3 linked regions of the Lepisosteus oculatus genome follow. The protein of the gene in region 3 binds, or shares a complex with, the protein of the main gene of each other region. Links are inferred from orthologs where the notes say so. Each region holds a gene or a part of one and is shown on either strand. Other genes may lie near its edges. The genes, in order: taf1b, taf1a and taf1c.

Evidence for each region.
Region 1: taf1c (region 3) and taf1b share a complex: the UniProt entries of both Homo sapiens proteins name them as parts of the transcription factor SL1/TIF-IB complex. The link is inferred for Lepisosteus oculatus from reciprocal best matches to the Homo sapiens genes TAF1C and TAF1B.
Region 2: taf1c (region 3) and taf1a share a complex: the UniProt entries of both Homo sapiens proteins name them as parts of the transcription factor SL1/TIF-IB complex. The link is inferred for Lepisosteus oculatus from reciprocal best matches to the Homo sapiens genes TAF1C and TAF1A.

What each region holds. Positions count from the first base shown.
Region 1 is NC_090697.1:11,858,984-11,863,999, reverse strand, and holds the start of taf1b (TATA box-binding protein-associated factor RNA polymerase I subunit B), read left to right. Parts: upstream 1-1,745; 5' UTR 1,746-1,834; coding exon 1,835-1,852; intron 1,853-2,438; coding exon 2,439-2,537; intron 2,538-2,874; coding exon 2,875-2,968; intron 2,969-4,020; coding exon 4,021-4,118; intron 4,119-5,016. UniProt on the Homo sapiens protein: Component of RNA polymerase I core factor complex that acts as a GTF2B/TFIIB-like factor and plays a key role in multiple steps during transcription initiation such as pre-initiation complex (PIC) assembly and postpolymerase recruitment events in polymerase I (Pol I) transcription.
Region 2 is NC_090697.1:42,662,500-42,667,515, forward strand, and holds the start of taf1a (TATA box-binding protein-associated factor RNA polymerase I subunit A), read right to left. Parts: upstream 2,682-5,016; 5' UTR 2,631-2,681; coding exon 2,613-2,630; exon of another isoform or gene 2,489-2,612; intron 1,967-2,488; coding exon 1,939-1,966; intron 1,697-1,938; coding exon 1,568-1,696; intron 1,438-1,567; coding exon 1,268-1,437; intron 1-1,267. UniProt on the Homo sapiens protein: Component of the transcription factor SL1/TIF-IB complex, which is involved in the assembly of the PIC (pre-initiation complex) during RNA polymerase I-dependent transcription.
Region 3 is NC_090698.1:66,529,449-66,534,464, reverse strand, and holds the start of taf1c (TATA box-binding protein-associated factor, RNA polymerase I, subunit C), read right to left. Parts: upstream 3,454-5,016; 5' UTR 3,054-3,453; coding exon 2,901-3,053; intron 1,893-2,900; coding exon 1,784-1,892; intron 1,121-1,783; coding exon 1,068-1,120; intron 572-1,067; coding exon 476-571; intron 1-475. UniProt on the Homo sapiens protein: Component of the transcription factor SL1/TIF-IB complex, which is involved in the assembly of the PIC (pre-initiation complex) during RNA polymerase I-dependent transcription.

The sequences.
Region 1 (5,016 bases), on a different chromosome or scaffold from region 3:
ATGTAGTTTGCGATATGGACTATTTCAAGTGCCAATTCTAGATATTTAACGCAAACAGCCACATGACCCTCACAGCATGACCACATTCCTACTTGACAAAACTAGAGGTTCAGGGAGTGCCATTATATTTCATTCCTATATTCCGCATGATGAAAAGCGAGCCTTGAGTGCCACCAGCTGGGCCTGTGACCAAACAGCAAATCTAGCTTCATTATTACAGAAAAAGCACTCTCGCCCTCCTCCCGTTACGTTAAATATATGTATTTTTCCGATTGGCATCTGCACATCTTTGAGGGACGATGGGAATGCAGGGGCATATGGACGCCACGACACTTTCTGAAGTGGTCGAAGAGGCCGATCCTGACATGACATGATCTTGCCTGCCTTTTATTTTCCCTGGCGTGGTTTTCTGTATTTTTGCAGAATTTGTCATCTGCACCTTTGCTGACAAAGAGATGTCTGAAACGCGTCTGGTTAAAATAAAGGCTGCTTTGTACATTTTTCCCCCTCTACCGGGTCAGCGCCACAACATACTGTCAATCCTGTCCTCAGCCCCCTTTTAAATGTCTTCCCCATTTGCAAAAGCCCGAGCAACCTTTTCATTATTCATCATTGCTGTCTATATTTGCACAAGCCTGAGGAACCTTTTCATTATTCATCATTGCTGTCTTTGATACAGTATATGGAGACATCTCCCCTGTCATGAAGCATGAATCCTGTCATTTATCAGAGACGAGGAAATACCTTGTGTCAGATGTTTCAGAATATCATCCCCATTCCCTGCAGTTGTCTAATTCCCAAGGTACCAAACAAAAATGCCAGTTTCCTCACACTGAAAGAGGCCCCATGGCCAAAACGTTGTGTTTCTCTTTTTTTTTTTACATTTCTGCATGGAATGAACCTTTACGTCTTAGTTTACAGCCAGCACATGCTGACACAGCTCCCTACTCAAAGGTCAGCTAACGACTGTGACAGACTGTGTATGTGGAGATTATGGGCCAGTTGTTCATTAGAAGTGGTCTGAAAAGATTAGCGACTCATTTAGTAGTCTAATATCATCATAGCGTTTCTGTTTTCGAACTGAAGCCGTGACCCATTCCCACAACTGATAAAATGTGCAACACGATACGCATGATTTCAGGCAATGGTGTTTTCTATTATCTCAGCTGCTCTTATGCTGTTCAGATGTTGTACGGTAGGTAGATATCTGCAGGTTATTTCCAGGTTAGGATCTCTGCACCACAAATCTCTGCAGTCATTAAAGTACTATACAGGAAAGCTGCCCCAATGGGTTCTAAGGTTTTAATCGGAATCTTAGAATAGAAATACAGCTCATAATTTTCTCCAGCCCTTTAAAACACCATTTTTACACAGATACTACCATTGAATCTGCAACATAACTTTCAGCTAAATTCGCTTAATCCTCTTACTGGCGTTTTTACACTTGCAATCTGAATCACGATAGTGAAGTGAAGGTCATGTGATGGTAGCTAACTGAAAAATCTGATGCTAAACTTAATAAAACGAAATCATCTGAAACTAGGTCGCTACCGCTAAAGATTCATTCGCCTACAAAAACCCTAAAATATTCATATACATTCTTAAACTTAAAAAGATTATCTGACTTTCTCTATATATCATATAGCAAAACGAAACACAGATAAATACACAGCCCCAATCAATAACTAACGTATGTGTGCATTTTGCATACGCCTTGTTACAGACGCTCACGGTTGCAACACGACAGCATTTAAGTGTTACACCGGAAGTACCGCATGTTTGTAGTAGTTACAAACATTGAAGAATGTGGACTGTATATACCTTTTAATACCTCATGGATGATGAACATACTGTAAGTTATTTACTGATTTAAAATGATGTTACGGTACTGACTTTGCTTTTGCGAGGTATAGTCAAGGGCGATTGTACTGCCAAACTGTCTTTGACGTTGTATTATAGCAAGTAAACGTTTTCCACTTAAGCTGATGAAAAAACACTTCAATTGCGTTTGGTCGTATTTTAAATAACGCTTAAAAACTCTCCCAATGCGAAAACGGAGAGAAGAAAAATCTGGTCTATGAGACAGGTCAGACAAACCATGGGTTGATAGCTATTTTCCAATCAAAACCTTCAACCCTTACCGGGGAACCGATTAACGATATGCTAAAATAAAAATAACATTATTTTATATATTGTAGAAAAGAAAAAAAAACGCTTTAAAGAACACTATACAGTTCATTTAACATACATACATGTCTCAAAAAAACAAATCGTAATCTGTTTTTTGGGCAAAATGTACCCATGCTACTGGGGATCACTGGTGATTCCAGGAGTGACATTAAGAAGAGTTTGGTGGAAGCGACACAGAATAAGTGTGCCTGCGTCGCCTTCCTCCGTGTTTCTGTACTGTATGTCTTGTGCGGTGCTGCCTCTTGCAGAAGGACTACCGGGAGCCGTGCCTGGTGTGCTCCGAGGTGGACTGGGGGCTGACGGATGAGGGCAAGTTCTACTGTAGGTCCTGCCAGAACGTCATCGAGGTGAGGCAGACCTGTTAGATTATTAGGAACAAGTAAAGGCTTATTCCCTGCTGAAAAGAGAAGAAAGGAAACAACGTTTCACGCTGGGGAGCCTTCTTCGGGGCGTTGTCTATTTTTTTCTCTTTTCAACATGGAATAAACCTTTACTTGTTACTTTTTGTAAGTTGTATGTTATTTAATGTGTTGTTGCTGCTGCTGCCCTGTGTTTTTTTATGTTTCCTTTCACAGACCCACAGTAAAAAACCTAGACTAGAATCCATATACTATATAGCCCCTTTGTGTCTGACTGTCTATCTCCCAAATGCTTAAATTCTCACAACTGTTCTTGTTGTAACAGAGAACCAAAGAATTGGACCCTGAGGACGTCTTTTGTGGTTCCAGCTCAAGAATCTCCTCTATTTCTCAAAGTCTACGGCAGAAGAAAAAACTAGGTTAGTTAGTCTTTGCTCTTAGGAGAGGTTTGGATGTCAGTTTTGAAGACGTGCTGCGGTTCCAAAGCTCTTTCTCTGGATACTCAATATTTTATTCATTTTGCATCCGGAATTTGAAGTTGTTCTCATATGTGGGTTTTCACCTGAGAGCCGTGACCTGTGTTTATGGGAAGTGATGGATGCTGACTTCACGTACTAGAGTGTTGTCTGCAGCAACTGGGAACCTGCAAAGCTTCATCATGTATCAGTACCGGTTGTGACGGCAGATCTCTCCTTTTTGCTCTGTTAAAATACTATGGGCTGGGTATAGAAAATGACAGTTCAAAATCTAAAAATGGAAAAACAAGCCAGAAAGGAATTTGGCCAGGATGCTGGGGTAAAGCCCCTACTCTTTTCGAGAAACATCCTGGAATTTTTAATGACCAGAGTCAGGACCACGGTTTTACATCTCATCCAAAGGGTGGTACCTGTTCTACCGTATAGTGTCCCCATTACTATATTGGGGCATTAGGACCCACGCAGACCTCAGGGTGAGCGCCCCCTACTGGCCCCACTAACAGCAGCAACCTAAGTTTTCCCAGGAGTCTCCCATCCAGGTACCAACCAGGCTCACACCCGCTGAGCTTCAGTAAATTTTCATTTGTGGGCTGCTGGGCTGCTGCTGCTGTTGCCCTTGAGAGAGAGAGAGAGACTTCACTCAGATTTCTGCTGTGAATCTCCTGCTGTATACACAGGTCTCCAGGCTGTCTCCATTGCAATTGAGAATTTCTTTTCAATCGAGGAGGTAAAATAACCAAATACGTCAAAGGATTTCCATATCTGTGAAAACAAAAGGCTTCTGATTTGCTGAGCTTAATTATTGTGAAATATTGCTAGGTTCGCATGTCATGTTGCAGCTCTTCTGAAGTCATTCTGAGTGGGCAGCTCTGGATGTGGGACTGACCTGAACTGCTTGGCTCTCTACACTTCTCTAATACACTACATCCCCCTTCTTCACTGCTCAATATTTGCAATATTTGTCTCCCCCCCCCCCCCCCGGGCGGTTATTTCAGAGCGAGGCCGGGAATGGATGGTGTGTGAGGCCTTCCAGTTTATCCTGCAGAAGCAAGCCAGCGCTCTCCTGGAGATGGGCGTGGACCCACAGTTCAAGGTACCGGGCTCCACGTCACGGACTGGGGGAGGCTCTGGGCGCGGAGAGCCGCTGGACCTGGGGCGCGAGCAGAGCAGGAAGCCGATGTTCCTCTTTCGTCTGCTCCTACTACAGAGCAGCACCAAAACAGAATCGGAAAGTCTACAGATTCCCGCAAGATAAAGCGCACAGCATTAACAAAGCCAGCATCCTCCCGGCTCATGTCCTTTTTCTGGAATTGGTTTGTTTATTCGTATTGCTTCTGGAGAGGCAGTGGTCCAAAACTTAAGTTATACCACCTTTTTTTTCAGTAGTGAGCAACAGCTTATGGAAGGGATGTGCTTCCTGATGTTTAGGACCAGACGGGCAGGTCTGCTCTGCATGGTCCACCGATTTAAGGATATCAGTTGTTTCCAGTTTGTCATTATTTCCAAGGCCAAGAACGTGACTTGGCATGAATTAGAATACAGAGTCACACGTGCCACGTTTATAACTGCCTTGTGGAGTTTGTGTTTGGTCTCTTTTTTTGAGTAACAAAAAGCGACAAAAAGTATTTCAGGGGTTACAAAATTGATGTCTCGTCTTTCGCTGTGAGGGGCCAAACCCCACTATTAATATTTTTTTTTTTTAAATGTTAATGGTCGCTTGATAAAGTCTGTAAGAAAAGGTGTTTAAGATTTGTAAAGGGTCTGAACACGCTTCCGATTTATTAAATAAAAAGCACTTGTTAGATATTTCAGTATTCCTCCAGCTCTGTGGTGTTGTTTTCAAGTATACTTGTAAATACATCACACACTTACAGTAGCTCAGAGGATTAATTTTGTATCTTCCCTCCATTAACAAAAGCCCCTTTTTTGTGGGTAGCATCTGTGATCATGATCTTGAAGCATTTTAGACACGAGTTTTCTCCGATTTCGCT
Region 2 (5,016 bases), on a different chromosome or scaffold from region 3:
TTGTACAGGTCCCATTACATCATTTGTTTTCCTTATACATTTAATCCCTCAACATTAATATGGCAACCTTATTTCAATAGTAGGGATTTTTATTAAACACTCTTGTAATAAAATAATAAACGCACTCATCAAAAACAACTCTTTTCCTTCAAGGATATTCTCCAACTTTTAATGTGAAAAAAAGTATAATTTCACTTTATTGGTACAGTTCTTTTACCTTCTTTCAGGGAGGCTGAGGACTAAACTGAGATGAAAGCATGTGTAGTATACTTGTGTTCAGACATCCACCACATTGGGTCACACAGTTCCTTTAGTGGACTCAGCACTGATCAGAGGAGTGTTGCAGCTCTCATGGACAACACAGAACGTTCACATGAGCCCAGCAAGCTAAAGGGGTCGATGTTGTACGTTGTATGACATTTTATCTGTGTGCCATGACCAACTCATGTCCACCTAGCCCCGGTAGTGCCAGGATAATCATGCCCTACTTTTTAAGAGAATCTCAGTCACCGAACAAAATGAGACACCAGTGGTTTGAACGAGCAATGACCTTTTTAGGGTTCAAACTGAATGCACCTTTAGTGGACCTGAGAGCACTTTTTGTTTTTAAAAGGGGAACACTGCGATGCTATTTTTATATTTTGGGGGTTAGAAAGAATCAGCATTGATGAGTGCATTTCAAACCACAATGAAAGTAAAATGTACACAGTAATGTGTAAAACCTGCAATTTACATCATAAAATAGATTACATTTCCAGCTATGCTCAATGTCTTGTTCTACAATTCAGAACGAGGCAACCAAACTTCCACTGAGGCATAGCAGCCCTATGACTTTGTAAACAAACAAGCTTGTGAATACATCTCTTGTAATCCAACAGAAATATTGCTCTCAACCTTGAGAAGGTTTTGCCAACAAATACTACTTTTTTGTTAACTCTGCATGCAGATCACGTTGGAACATTTCTGCAGTGAAATGTCCGCTACACAGCCTGTACTTATTCACTCATTAGTCATTACAGTGACTAGTGAGCAGGAAGGGCCACCTCATATCTCAATCTGCACTCTTGCCTGTGCCAAGAGCACGGGTTTGTGACTATATGACGACTATACAGTACTTTCACAAAGCTCACCAGTTTTTGCTTAATTCGGAATTTGTAACATTTTATTATACCAGCAATTATTTTTTTGTTACATAGATATAATAACTAGTCTACAAAATTGTGAACGCAGTTCTTCTTTAAATTAGTGCAGTCACGGCCACACTCACTTCAGGTGATACAGTCTGCTTCCGAACAGTTGTGTCTTCCAGCGTTTCAAAGTAATTCTTCATGTATTCTGCAGCCTCTTCCCAACGGTGCTTGAAAAGAGCTTCCTGAATTTTGGTCAGGCATATTCTGGAGCTTTTGTGAAAACCAGTCTCTCTCCTTGGCAACGTTTCTAAAGGAGGAAACACAAATCCTTTTTACTTCCAAGAATGAATACAAAACAGCCTTTCAATTATTTTCGGTAAGCCGATAGGATAAAGGCTTGGGCACTGCTTTAAAACAGTGAATATTGAAGATCTTACCTTTGAAACTGTGCAATAGAGGCAAATGAGGTCGTCCTCCTATTTCAGGACTACAAATCTGCTGTTCATCGTCTAAACTGTCCTGCTGGTCAGACTGGGATAATTCAGCACATAGGTCATCCATGTCTCCTAAAAAGAAAAAGGATATGACATGTTCCTGTTGTGAACAGCTAAAAATGACAGGTGAACTCTTCTACTTTATAAGGTTTTCAAGCAAACTGTTAAGAGGGATTAAGAGGCTCATACATAGTTTGACATAAAGTGTTACATTTAATTATAGCACTTAAAACGTCTTTGCAGCCCTCAGTAGGGCTTTTTATCTCGTTAAAAAAGGAAAATATTAAGATTTAAGGAATCCATGATAGCAGTACCTTGCTTTATGTTCCATACTGAATTCCTCTGAAAAAGATTTTCACATATTGATCAGAAAAAACATCACTAAATCGAAGATGATCACGCATACAAATAACATTAAAACGTCTGTCCTATTTGCATATTATGTAAGTTACTTTGTATACTAATGATTTTCCTCACCAGAACCCTGTTGAAGAACCAGTAACATCCATGCCAATTTCTAAGGTTTAGTTATAAGGTCAGTTTTTTAAAACGTTTTGGACAACACTTCTTATTCGATTGCATTTGCTTAAGCACGACCTAAAACGCAATTTACATTTCCTGATACGAAGTGTATTAAAGGCTATACAAAACACCGGAAATACAGTTTATGATAGAGGAGGCTTTCGTATTGTTTTCATGAAGTGTTTGAAAGCTGTATCGTCTGTTCTTAATTCAGCTCACTTCCGAAAGTAAGAAGCACACGGTAATCCACCTTCCCAGTGTTACGACTTTAAAAAACTTCAAACGCGTAAAAGAAACATTTATCTGAAATCACAACATTAAACATAATTCAGACAACCAAACCTGCTTGATAAAACGTCTTCGTTCATGTTCCAATTATAAAAAATGACATAAATTGGTTTCTTGACTATTGAAACGATATTATGTTCATTTTGCACGAAAAAACGACTTAATCGTATTTTAGTACATTTTGATCACCACACATGTAGACTCCAGGACCTCCCAAATTTGACAGTGCGCATGCCCACGGAAAACAGCAACATGGTCTACGTCATGGACGACGACTCTGACTCTAAAGCAGAGTTCCTATAGCGCAGAAACCTGCAGCAGTGTATCTGCGCAGACCTAGAGCATAATGTTGTACTATTGTGGTAGCCTGATCTGACAGTAAACGTTATTTGGACCTTCTGGTACAAACATGTATTTGATTTCTTAAGCTTTTATTAAACACCTTATGATACAACCAAAGCAGAAAAGGTATCGAAAAAGACAAGTGAAGAAAAATAATTAATCATCAACAATACGCTGCCAGAAGGAATTACAAATCAGAAAACAATAAATTATTTTTTTTGGTTTTGTGAATATATCGACCCAATATTACTAATTATGTATAACAAATTAATTAAAACTAAATATTATTTTATATGCTATGTTACAAATTATAAATCTAACACGCAGTTTTATATTCAATTCAGTTCAAAATACTTTAGTTATTATGAAAGTAACAATGTGCAATGTTTAAGAAGGTATTAAACTATTTGCACATTTGTAGAGTAGGGTGTTATCCAATTGACGTCATAGTGATAAAATTTCTTTACATTCATTGTTTACAAGCCTGGTGGCCTCTGGAGCAAACCAAACTTTTATTTTGTCTTGTGCTGTGGACAGCACGAAGGCAAAAGTTCAAAAGACTGATGAAAGACCTGAGATGAGCCTTCACTGATGTCACAGGCCTTCCTCAGGATCTGATGGACACAATGCTATGCCAGAGGTCTTAAAGGCTGTCCAATGATTTCTAAGCTGAGGTTTGCAACATTTTGAAGGTGTTTTTTGCCTCTTTGACTGAGTGAATTGAATCTACGGTTAAATGAAAAAGTTAAAATACTTTTGATATAAAAGCTATATATGGAAGCCCGTTTCCGCCAGGGAGTAAAAAAAACGGAAACGGGCTTCCATATATAATACCTTTAACATGCTGATAGAATTCTTTTCTGGATTCTGTGGAACTGTTTTCTCAAAACATATAAGTAAAAATAATAATAATTGCTTACACTTATATAGCGCTTTTCTGGACACTCCACTCAAAACGCTTTACAGTTAATGGGTCTCCTCTCCACCACCACCAATGTGCAACATCCACCTGGATGATGCAACAGCAGCCATAGTGCGCCAGAACGCTCACCACACATCAGCGATCAGTGGGGAGGAGAGCAGAGTAATGGAGCCAATTCATAGAGGGGGATTATTAGGAGGCCATGATTGCTAAGGGCCAATGGAAAATGGAAATTTGGCCAGGATGCCGGGGTTACACCCCTACTCTTTTCGAGAAATGCCCTGGCATTTTTAATGACCACAGAGTCAGGACCTCGGTTTTAGGTCTCATCCGAAGGATGGCGGCTGTTTACAGAATAGTGTCCCCGTCACTTTACTGGGGCATTAGGACTCACACGGACCACAGGGTGAACGCACCCTGCTGGCCCCACTAACACCTCTTCCAGCAGCAACCTTAGTTTTTCCCAAGAGGTCTCCCATCCAGGTACATATATATACTTGTGTTCTGTGAGACTGGAAAGGAAACATGTTTGTTATTTGTTGTTTTGGTTGTTTTAAGTGCTTCACAATGCTTCACAATGACATCAGTGATCTCAGGGAACTTAAGTTTTTCCTCAAACACCTCAAACCCAGATATTTGTAACTGTGAACTATACCAACTGATTCACCATGGATGGTTGTGGGAATGCCAGTGCTTTGTTTGTTTTTTAGATCAACCATTATTCTGTTTTTGACACAATAATCTCAAGGTAAGAAGGATCACACCAGTTGACAAATTCATCCAGAATGGGTCCATGTGTTTGTCCAGGCTCTGAAAGAAGAGAAACAGCAAACCTGATACAATGATTTTCATAGTTGCTCTGACAGTCATCAGTATATAAAATGAAAAGGGGGAGAAAGAACGCACCCTTATGGTGGATTAGTAGAAGTACAGAGTCAGATACCAACACATTAATAAGTACATTTTGTGTACTTAGTCAGAAAACTAGGATTTAATTTGAACGGTGAAATCAGCGTTTCAACCAAAATATGTGACTGCATTGTATTAAAGGCTGATTAAATATCAGCAAATAGAAGGTGCCTAACGATAAATGCTTAATGATACATTTTTGCAAATCTAATCAAAACAACAAATAACAAACGTGTTTCCTTTCCAGTCTCACAGAACACATATATATATATATCATGTTGTTCATGTTTAATTCTAGAAAGTGTTAGTTTAACATGAAAAAACCTATTAACAATTCTAAATGTTGTTTTTTGTTTTCCTTGTTTGCACTGGGATATCTATCAGGGGGTTTTTGGACTAATTCCCCATT
Region 3 (5,016 bases):
CATGAGTATAGTCAAATGGCTAAGAGGACATTCCAATTGTACAAGACACATCTTCCTGACAAATCACAATGAGATAGCAAGCAAGACAAAATATCAAAAGAAAGGTCTTGTTGAAGTAATATAAAGCTAAGCGCCAACCCACAGATAATCAGACTTGATTCAAATTTTATGCTGGAAGTGCAGCAAAAACGTTGAAAATGAAGATCAAAAAACAAACTTAATGTGATGTTTTTTGTATTTTTTGCCGCCATTTTACAGCACAAAACATTCAAAATACACACACAATAGTATAGAATCACACTGAAGCCAACTGTAAATAATGAGGCCTAGACTTCAGAGCTACACCAACAGGACCAGAACTGAACTAACTGAACAAGATTTGTTCTAAAAAAGCAACTAGGCAACAACCATGGTTTCAATGCACTGAAAGACAGCGTTGCGCTTTACAAAACCCCACCAATATAGCTTCCCATACCTGTAGATTACCGTAACCAAAATAGAAGTGTTCATCTAACAGACGGCTCATAGTCCCAAAGGCATCTTGATGGTTATCCAGGTAGAAATTCCGCAACTTCAAGAAATGACAGAAATAAAGCTTTTAAGACATAAATAAAAAACAACACCAACTCTTTCAACCCCAGAATATGAACCATAGTTTCACAGTATACATTCAGTATCTACAATCATACAAACTCTATTTTAACATAACTCGGGGTACTGTACTCTTACAATGTTCAATCTGAATCAGTTAGTGCTATACAATCAGAATTGACTAGTATTTGCTTGAATCTAGAAGAGTTACTTCTCAAGCACTCAAGAGGATTAAAACTATATTGGACAGGTTCAAACTGTAAGTGTAACACCAACACATTGTTCAAAAACAAAGGCACAAATGAGATGCCAGGTTATTCTCTGGGCACCCATTTACTAACATTTACATTTTTCCGTGGTGAGGTTTTCCTGAAGCCTCGTGTCCGTAAGCAGGAACCAACATGCCTTTCAACTCAATTCACTTCCAAACTCTCAGAGAATCACAAGATGTTAAAATAACTTGCAACACCACTTACATGTTCTGGGAAGTCTAAGGCATGAGAGTTAGCTGATGAGGGAATCTTGCAATCTGAAGAGAGGGGAAAAAAGTGATTAGAACAGATAAATACTACACATATGTAAATCCACCCCCTCCCGATGTTTTTTCCTTGTCTATGGTTTTTTTATTGCATAATCTTGTAAATTGTTACTGTATGAATGTATTGTATTCTTCTTGTAACCTTCTAGCAAATTCTGTCCTCTCTTACTTCCAGAATCTATATTTCTCCGTTTTTTATTCCTCTTTAGGTTTTGCTGATATTTACCGTAACTCTTTTTCACCCTTAAAATTCTTCATTTTGAGCCATTCAGGTTTGGAATAAAATGAAGAAGTTAAAAAAAGTGTGCACATCATTTTGTTATTTCACAAGTGGCATGACAAAGGAAGGGTCTGAGTACTTCTAGAGGGGGGGGCCTGTAACTGGATCGGATTACCAACAACTGTGCTTGAACGGAAGACCACCGATTGTGCGCCCACTGGAGACAGGAAATACCGCCTGCAGCATGGTCCGAAGCAAAGTATCGATCAATCAATCAAGGTTTATTTATCAATGCACGAACAGTACAGCATACAGCGGTGTTGTTGGGAATGAAATCCTTTATCCACGAGATCATTAAGAGGGGGGTAGAAGAAAGAAATTTATAAGGATTAGGTTAAAGATTAGGATACGATAAATGACACTAGGCCAGTTACCTGAATTCGGGGGCAGCAAGGGACATACAATGGGCTCTGTCGGCCTCCATTCCTCTCCTTTTACTTTGTGTTGGGCTTCTATCTTGATCTTACCCTCTAGGCCAGCATTCTGGAAACACCAGGCAAAGTTAAAAAAAAAAAATAATTATAACAACAACAACAACATCACTTTATTAACCTTTTACAATTTCTTGCATTACATCTTTTCGCATAGCCCAGCTTGCTCTCCATGAGACACACGGACAGGGAGAGAAGCTGGGGGTCAGAGCGCAGGGACTGCCATTGTACAGAGCCCCTGGAGCAGTTGGGGTGAAGGGCCTCGCTCAGGGGCCCAACGGAGTAAGATTGCCCTGCCGGCTGCGGGATTTGAACCCGCAACCTTCCAGGCAAAGGCGCAGATCCTTAGCCACAGAGCCACCGCTCCGCCCCAAAAAAAGATTGCTGAAAGAATTGGAGTTCAAACTCCGCAGACACACTGCCAAAACTAATGCTCTGGGCTCTTACTTAACTCTGAGGGGACCCGAGACAGGTATTCAAAATCCTCAAAAAGGCACCAAACCCTACAAGACTTGTTGAAAATCAGCCTTGCCAGACGAAAACAGAAAACAAAAAGACTGCGGGAGTACGGAACCAGTTTGTCGGCCACGTTGTTGAAGACGAGCCCGTCGCTGCCTTTAAGACACTACTGGTTGACATCCTGATCAATGAGTTAAGTTACGAAACGATGTACCGTCGGCCTCCCGTCATTTGAAATCTTCCCAACACCGTCATGAAATACCACTTTTGTATCGCGTATATAGATAACCGAATGGATCAAATTACTAACTTTATTCTAGGTCAGGCAAAACAGTTTTTTTTTTCCCAGCCAGCGAGCTGGCAGATAATGCAACATAAGGTTTTGCATGATCTTATTGCAAAATATTTGCAAAATAAGGCGATACATCCCATTCTGCTCAAGCAAGCACTTAGGCGAGCATGCAGGGTGAAACGACACCCCACCAAAACAAGACGATTCTTTGTGCATTTGCATGTGCAAAAACGATCCGAGGCTCTTAAGCGGCAGGTTCCTGCGCAGGAGCTGCTGACGATCTGCGAGCGCAGGAGCTGAAGTACTCACCTCCGGCACAAGACGGTCCACTCCCCGGATCTGGCCGTAGACCCCCCAGCCGCCTACAACCGGCAGGACGCCAGCGGTCCTGCCCGGAGGCCCGGTGTTGTAGGCCTGGGGGAAAAGCATCGGGGGAAACGCACTGTCCGTACGCCCGGCCATGTCTGGGCTCGACCCATGTGTCAAACCGGCCCCGTTTAACCCCAGCACTGGGCAACGAGGCGAGCGCGTCTCCCTTCCGCTCCGCGCTGCGCTGCACGACTAGGTACAAACCTGACGGGGTTTTTTGTTTTTGTTGGTTGGTTGTTAAATTAATTTCCCGACACCATCAGTCCGAAACAAGAACGCGTACGCGCCACACGTGTTCCTGTAAACGAAAGGCTCCGAAAACGGAAGCCAACGCGGCAGGAGGAGTCTGTTTTGACGCCAAACTGGGGGGACTGGGGGGTGGAGAGAGGAAAGAGTGAGCCCTTCCCCTGGATGAGACCGGTAACCAATCGGAGGAGAAGGAGCTCGCCAAGGCCCTTCAGGCTTAGTGGAAAAGGGGGACGCCACTACATTCAAATTCAAACAGCTTTATTGTCATGACCGCAGTGTTACAGTGGTGCCAAAGCGCACACGGCGAATACAAAGGTCTACAGACATTTACACAACACAAATACATCTTGGGACATGTACAGCCAACACATAGAACTGACTAAAACCGTTTCCATCACTAACCGGTACGTCGGTTACCGGCTGTTGCCAAATTTGGAAAAAAAAACAGCGATTATTGTCAAGGCAAATAACCCTGGCCTCTGCGAAACTTGAGCCGGCAAGAGTCCAGTGCAAAAAAAAAAAACTTTCATTAAACCCGGTTTCAGGCGTACTGTAGGTGCGCCACCACATTTGGGAGTCTGGGGTTTAAACGTAGCCTAAGGTGTAAATTAAACGTCAATCCTTTTTACTAAATTGTTTTTTTTTCTTCTTTTTCGTTTGGTCGTGGAGTAAAGAGTATCAGCGGAGAACTGTTTTATTTGATCAACGACAGCTGTCCATTTTTTTAATGTTGGCGATTTGTCTCGATGCGTTCCACCAGCTGGTAGTTTTTTAATTAGTTTTTCTTAGGTCATCTGTTCTACAGTATAATCGTAATTTGCACTGTCGGTCCATCAATGTGATCGGCAAACCTTGCCAATGAAGACCCAATTCGAAGAAAATGCAAATAGCAACTTTCAAAGAGGGGTCTCTGCAGGTGACGGGGTGGATTGAAATTATTTTTTTTTAAAAAAAGATATAGACGCTTCTTTATTGAGAAAAAAGAATCATATACAACTATTTTATTCCCTGCCCCTGATTGATAATTAAGCGTGAAGGTCAATTCAGTAAAAGTCTATTGGTCGGTTTACACAATGATGTATTTCGGTGTCAGGGCACTTTTAAAATGCCGCTTTGTCTCACAGTGTCCGGGGAATATGGGGCCAGTCGCTGCCCTAGTCTAGAGGGAGGAGGCGCGACTGTACCGGCGGAGAGGAGAGGAATTTAACGGAGAGAGAGGCACTAGCTGTGGAGCACAGGGCACCACTTTCAGGGCTCACACATTTCAGACACGCTGCTCCGGCTTCAGCCAGCAGCGCGAGAAACTGGGGGCTCCCTTGGCGGCGGTGTGGGAGGGGACCCGGCTGCTGAGCCCTCAGGTGTGGGGCTGCACTGAGACCACCCGCAGGACCCCAGAGCGAGATGGAAACTCCACTCAAGGCGGGCGACGGCTCTCTGACATGGGATTGGGAGGAAGGGGGCAGATAGTAACACAAACAGGTTGTCCCATCGAGTCACGTGTTCTGACGCTCCTGCCGAAGGCGGATGGGCGAGGGGACTCCTGTTCAGGAGACAGGAAACAGAAACTAGCTCTAGGGGTGCCTTGTAAATGGATGACCCTGTGCTCTGACCCCCAGCTTCTCTCCCTCTCCGTGTGTGCATGCGAAAAGACAAATTCCTAATACCAGAAATTGTATATGGCCAATAAAGTGATCTTATCTTATCTCTTCTCTCCCTCAGAGTTTCTACGCCCAGTGAAAGGATAGAGGGATAAATAAAAACATGTTTTTTTTTTTTTGCTGTAGTCCTTCCTGTTATGTATTACTCC